Linked DNA regions of Drosophila melanogaster. The protein of the gene in region 2 interacts with the protein of the main gene of each other region in a pairwise test. Each region holds a gene or a part of one and is shown on either strand. Other genes may lie near its edges. The genes, in order: CG9014 and LysX.

The links.
Region 1: the proteins of LysX (region 2) and CG9014 interact in a two-hybrid assay, tested with the Drosophila melanogaster proteins (one large-scale study listed by BioGRID).

Annotation. Positions count from the first base shown.
Region 1 is NT_033779.5:13,721,473-13,725,411, forward strand, and holds CG9014 (uncharacterized protein), read right to left. Parts: upstream 2,171-3,939; 5' UTR 2,060-2,170; intron 2,013-2,059; exon of another isoform or gene 2,004-2,012; 5' UTR 1,966-2,003; coding exon 1,597-1,965; intron 1,539-1,596; coding exon 921-1,538; 3' UTR 689-920; downstream 1-688.
Region 2 is NT_037436.4:1,194,163-1,197,369, forward strand, and holds LysX (lysozyme X), read right to left. Parts: upstream 1,141-3,207; 5' UTR 1,134-1,140; coding exon 705-1,133; 3' UTR 577-704; downstream 1-576. Other genes in the region: Aplip1 (APPL-interacting protein 1), read left to right, coding at 2,381-2,493, 2,775-3,151. UniProt on the Drosophila melanogaster protein: Unlikely to play an active role in the humoral immune defense. May have a function in the digestion of bacteria in the food. May be involved in the clearance of bacteria from the larval gut before metamorphosis.

The DNA.
Region 1 (3,939 bases), on a different chromosome or scaffold from region 2:
GTCGTCGTCTTGGCTTAATCAAGTTAGCCGTACATGGCCTTTGTGTGTACCGGACCATTTAATTAGTTCAAAGAGTCGTGTTTGATTTGACACTAATTCGGTGTATACTTCATTCAATGGACAATATTTGCCCAAATGTGAGCTCATCGCATCGAAGTAAGCTGCTTGCAGTCCATTAATTTTCATTTGATCAGAGATCTCGTTTTCAATTGCAGGCTAAAATCGTAATGGTCCCGAAAATTTATCTCAGCTGGGAAATTAAATTTTGTACAATTTGTAAAACTTTTCCAAATGGTGTCGCCAACTGCCGCGAACCGAGCACAGCCAAACTTTTACCATTTCCATTATAAGTTTTACTTGATGCACCCACCGCAAGCCCAACCAACCGCCCACCCACAGAAGGAGCAACCTCAATCCCAGCTTATGCGTTTATTTAATTTCGCTCCAACATTACGCATACGCCCGAGTGTTCACTGAGCTTCTATAATTGCCGCGTAATTGCCGAGAAGAATATCTGTCAGCTACAACGACAACTTTAAACTGTGAGTGTTGCTGCACTGAACCAATCGATGAGGGAAGTTTAACAAAACCTTAAAAATTTCAAAATTACATACGTTTCATAAAAACTCTTCGATAGTATTGGGAGCCCTCAGATTATTCATAAGGTCCGACATTAAAAAATAACACGACCATTTGTTTGTTTTCTATTTACGTAACTCGAATTGATAAAACATATTTATATTTTTCATTTTGACGACTTTTGAAGTACGATCGTGTAATTTAAGACAGTGAAGCAACATGACCATCATTCCAAAACAAAGGACGTGGAAAACGGGCAGCCAGTTGCGCTTTTGTGTTGTGTTACCAAAATGAATTTAGATGTGGAGGATACAAGCAGGATGTGGTGACCCATCATTGGCTTAAATAATCTCTTCGCCAAATATTACCTCATTCACACCGTCGACGAAGATCATGACCAGTCCGAGGATGGGGCGCAGATTCTCCGGCATGTGGGTGTTTTCGCCGCCCAGAACAACCACGCACGGTTTGCCAATGACCAGACCGGGCACCAATCGGGTGACATACCGACTCATGAGATGTTGGTTCTCGCGGCGATCGTCCAACGTCATCAGACCTTCGGGCCAGCGATCCTCGTGGCAACGTTCAACCAGCATATTGAGCATATGCATCGGACAGCCGCTTTCACGCAAAACGTCGCGCACCATCAGGTGCATGGGATTGTCCGGCGTGGAGATCAGACTGCCCCACGTATGGATGTTGGCCAGAGGGAGTCCATGGCCCCACTGCATCAGTGAGAAGCGGTCCAGTTGTTCGCCAATGTTGCGCAGCATGGGATTGGTCGATCGCAGTGCTGCGATATAGTACTGGAACAGCTCCATCTCTCGGCGCTGGCTGGAGCTCTGCTCCTCCATATCGGATTGCTTCTGCTTCAGATCGGAAACCTCCTTCGCCAGTTTCTCCACCAGCTCGCGCAGTTCGAACACACAGTTGTGGCGCGACATCTCGTCCTTGGGTACCTTTAGCGGGAATATTATAGCTATCTTAAGCAGTTCAAGTTATTCCCAGAATGTTCACCTTCATTCCGCACCCCTTGCTGCACTCGACAACCACCTTGGGATTATGCTCGCAGGCGGCGACATGGGTCCGGAACTCCTCGAGGGCCAGCATTTGGGCACAACCGCTTTGCGAGAAGGTGCACTTGATCTTTAGGCGGGATAGCATGTTGCGCATTAGGCGCGAAACGGGCACCAGATGTGAGGTCAGTAGCCCGGAGCGGTCCACCGGGCAAATCTGTTTCTGGATCATCCACTTGTCGATGCAGGCGCGACAGAAGGCGTGCTCGCATTCCGATGACTGGACCGGCTCCTCCAGGACATCTGTGCAAATTGGACAGATGAGCTCCTCGTCAACGTGGCCCACAATGCAGTTTAGATCAAAGCCCATGACGAAATGGTTTGATTTCTATACCGAAGTTTATGTCGCTGGAGAATCTGAGATGTTATTTTTTTTTGGCATGGAGCCACTCTCATCCACTTACCACTGAGTTCGATATGTACTTATACCTATATCCGAAACTCGATTTTTACAATATTTCGATCAAAAAGTTAGTTTTTACGTCGGCGCTGAGTTGTGTCCGAGCTGGCATCTGATTAAAAGCCAACTATGTGTATAGTTATGCATAGTTATATAAATAGTATATATAGTTTATTTTTGTAAATAAAAATCCTTTTCTTAAGCTAAGAAATACTAGGCCTTTCGATCATCTGTTATGCAAACAGCTCTCATTGAGCCTTCTACCATTTAGGACACTTCAATTTCAATTCAAGCGCAACTGAAACCAGCCAAACAACCAACAGAACACTGGGAGTCATCCATCCAAGTGGGCCAAGAGCAAGTGGGGTGGGGGCGAATGGGTCTGAGAAAACGTTTTCTTGAGGCACTTGCATATAGTGCGGTCGTAAAACCCTTTGCATATTTATAGTCCCAACTGCTGCGGAAGTTATGCAAATTGGAAAACTTATGGTACGACAACCCGGAATAATGCCAAACGTCCAGCCAACCTTCGGCGACCACGTTTTAACTTAGCCTGCACAGAGAAGCGATGCGAAGCGAAGCGAGGAGTTGAATTTTATTTATAAAGTGAAATTTTAACAAATTAACAGCAAATGCTGGGACATGGGCAAACAAATAAACTTTCCATCTTCAGCTCCACAATGGCCGAATTTCGAACAAACACTCATCAGACGACACACAGGCATGATTGTGACAACATATTGCCATGTCAAAATATTTACACTATATCAACTGCTCTATGCAAACTCGAATGTATATACATACGTGTGTATAATAGAATGGGCATTGTGTGACTGGAAATTCGGTTTTTAATTTCACTTGGAAGCGTCATTCGCTTGGATATTAAATTTCATGTTTTGCCTAAGAATGACATTTGCTTTTGTGTGCCTTTTTGTGCATTTTGTTTGTGACAACTTTACTGCATCGAATCCTTTTCGTTGGATTGCAATTTCAGTCTAGTGCTACCAAATGCTTATCTCCGAATGCAACTGTCAGTCTGACATTTTAGTTTACTTTAAATTCCTGCTCAAGCCTTTTCAGTTTGCCATAATATTCAAGACTCATTCTTTCATTTCGTTTTTATCTTGAAAAACAGTAATCGAAATGCTTGAATTGATGAGTTGAATAAATCACAATTGATATGCGATTCCCCACTCCGGCTGGTGTGAAATATTCTTTAATAAATCGCATTTTGTGCAAAATAATTAAGTCCGTGTGGGGTGTGGTGTTCGTTTTATCAATCCATTGGCTTTGCGACGTTCAATAGCAATATTTCACATTTCTGAGCTGATGGAGCGCATTAGAAAATAATCAACAATTTTCATTTGACTTGGCTCCGATAAAACCCATCATCCAGCAAACACAAAACGAACCACTCAAGCAGGAAAATTTAATAAGTTTGTACGTAAGCATATACACAGCTCGCCACAAAAATGTTTTTCCAACTGATCTGACCGCATTTGTGAAAATCAGCATTGATGATTCGAAGGCTCCTAGAGGATGCACACACTCTGATGAAAGATTTGGATAATAGCTTATGATGTTTTATATATTATAGAAGTGCCTTTTTTTTTGTTAATAAAATATATATGTACATTTGAGTGCTGTTTTTTTTAAGTGCAAGAAGATCATGTTTGGTTTTTCCGAGTGTATTTATGTACGAAACCCAACTAATAAGGTTAGCAACGTGTAAACAGTCATTACGTGAGTGGCTCTGTGTTAGCATGTAACGAGCCACAAATGCTTGCCACACAATGTTTATTTGCATTTATATTTGCTGTTCTTGCGCCGTTGTCATTTCATTGCAACATCAGTACGTGCCTCATTGTCCCCAAGTCCTTAGCA
Region 2 (3,207 bases):
GCTTCACCCCAACTCATCAGCTGAGGCGATTAACTTAATGGTGCTGGCTAACTGATTGACCGACAAACGACTGGCTCCCAGGAGCCATCCACTTTCTATTTGCCCACGAGCTAAAGGATTTATGGTTGCCCCAAGGGATGCAGGATGTCCCCCACTCCGCCGATGTGAAGGCAGCCAGACGGAGATGAAGCCCGGAACGGAGTCGAGGTCACGATGAATGGCAGCTCTTGATTTCGGAATAATTAACTTAGACATCTAATTTGAATGGGGGTCTAAACTGTGACTCGGTTTTAATTCGGGAATTGGAAAGGGTAATTTGATCAACACTTAAGAAACAACATTTACATGTGTCTGCTTTAAGAACGTACTTTTTAAGATTTTAGAGTGTTTCTGAACTATTTGTTTTTTTTTATATATTTATAGTATATAGTATAGTATATATAGTATACAGTACATAGTAATTACCTTTCTATATATTATGAATTCGTTGAAAAATTGCAATGACTAATTTTGTTCGCTGTCGCTTATCTTTGATTTATTTGTCCGCACATTTCTTTGTTTAATTACAAATGTCGTACCAGATATTTACTTTTATTTATGTATATATCGTGAATCAACGTATCAAAAAGTATAAACGTATAAAAAGTGTTTATTAGATTGCAAAACAATTACATTTTGAAATGTCCATGGTTAAGAGACTTGAATTAAACAAAGCAATCATCGATCGGGGGCAGGTATCCACTGCAGTAGTGCCAGGTGGACCAGGCTGACCAGCCCTGTTGACCCAGGACCTTTAGGGCACATCTTACGGAACTTTTGATGTCATCGGTCAAGAGAGCGTTGCAACTCACATCGCAGCCATTGTGGGAGAACTTTCCACTGGACGGCTGGCACCAGTACATGTCGTTGATCTGGAAAATGCCATAGTCGTTGGATCCATCGGTGTTGGGAGGCCCCACCACTCCGGTGCGGTAGGAGCTCTCGTGCTCTGCAATGCACGCCCACTTGGACAACTGGTCACGAGAAACACCCATATTGGCCATCTCGCGCGCCAGTGAGCAGCGATCCATGGTGCGACCCAGGACAGCTGGAGTGACTAGTGCCAGGACACAGATTCCTAGGAGGGCTCTCATGGCGAATTGGTTGGATGTCGATGAAGTACTGCGTGGCTAAAGACTGTTCATTCTTTTATACCCGGGGAAATAAAAAAAATCTGATTAAAGATAAGAACTATATTCTATACAAAGAAGAAACCAGCGGTTCTTATTATTGAGGGTATTCAACTAAATCTGGGCTTTCTGGGCACACCTCACAGACTGGATGATGTCGTCTTTGAGCATGTCGTTGCAGCTCGTGTGGCAACCGTTGTGTGAGAACTTTGAACATTGGACCGGATCACCTGAGTTAGTGGTAAGAAAATTTCTTAGGAAAATTATAGGTACCTTTAGATTGTCTGATTTGACTAGGCAACAGAAAAATGCATATCTTGTAGGTAAGTTATGGCAGACTGACGATTTCCATTTCCCCATTTACATTTATCAGTTGGGGTGGCGATTACATCTCCTATCGTATCTTATAATATAAAATAATATAATATAATATAATATATTATAATATAATATATTATAATATAATATATTATAATATAATATAATATAATTGCTGTTTTAGATAGATAATGACCAACCTTATTCATAATTTTATAATTTTCTAAATTAATTGATAGATAGTTTTTGTACTTTTAAAATTAATTAAATAATTTTCGAAATTGCATTTTGTGAAATGAAGACTGATTCGTTCGTACACATTTACTATAAAAATATATGCCCGATAAGAAATCCCCAGCCGGGGGAAATCCCCATTTTCTAGATCCGCCCCTGGCTGTTCGTGCCAAAGCGCAACAGCATTGCAATTCGCAAGTCACCACCATTGGAAACGGGGAGCGGAAGTGACTCACTGCGCAGGCGCGCTTCCTGTCAACCCCCAGGACAGAGTGAATGCCGCTGACCCCCCAACCTTTGCCCTGCCAGCGGTAAACAAAAACAAGTTTGGCTTACCAGCGAGAGAGAGAGAGAGAAATAAAGAGAGAGCTTGCGGATGACAGCTGAAAGTCCCGAATTTCCCTGGCTTGGGCCTCCACTATTTCTGATTTGGCACCACTCACATCTGGAATTCAGACGGGGGCACGCCAGCAACGTCAAGGAAATTATCGATTTTCGCATGTGAAGTGAAAAAAGTGACTCCGTTGGCAAAAAACTGTAGCGCGAGCAGGACTCCAGTGAAAATCTAACCAAAAGCAGTTCACACGGACTAACTAAAAGCCCCAGCTAGCCTGTAGTGGAGGGCGTGGCAGCTGGTCGGACCCTGGTCCCCAAACGACATGGCCGACAGCGAATTCGAGGAGTTCCACAGGCCCATATTTGAGCCACATACGATTGCTGGATTCGGATCAGGAGCAGGCAGCAAGAAGAATAATCCACATGCATTTTACTCGTAAGTTGAAAGGTGAAAGGCTGTGGTAAGAAGCAATCTGGCGAAGCTTGCTGTAGCCAAGACGTGTGCACGTGTCCTGAAGAGCACCCCTTGAAACTGGTTGGGTATCCTTGAAGGGAACTGTTCGCAACAGAAATCACAAAAGTCACTGATGGAACTGTTTAAAAGTATGCAACGAATTGTGTGCATGCCTTTGGACATTCTTATGAATTATTCCAAACTCGCTGTGATTTCTGTGCGATGGCATGAGTTCAGTTTCATCAGTAAAGCCCTTTTCACAGCTTAATTCCCAACGATGACCTGGAGGACTCGCACTCCTCGAAGAGCGATGGCGACGGTTCGGATCAGGAGGATGGCATTGGTCTTGTGGATCACGAGCCCAAGATGCGTCAAGTGGAGGACGATGAGCTGGGCGACGGGCTGAAAGTCACTCTGTCCTCGGACGGCTCGCTGGACACCAACGACTCGTTTAATTCGCACCGACATCATCCGTTGAACCACCAGGATGCGATTGGTGGCTTCCTGGGCATGGACACCAGTGGATTGGGTGGCAATAGTGCACCTGTGACCATTGGAGCCAGCACAGATCTGCTGGCACCCAATACAGCTGCCACGCGACGTCGTCGCAAGTTGCCGGAAATACCGAAAAACAAGAAATGTAAGTTTATTGAAAACTTAGTTCCTGGCTAGAGTATCCTGCATGCAAGTAGTTTC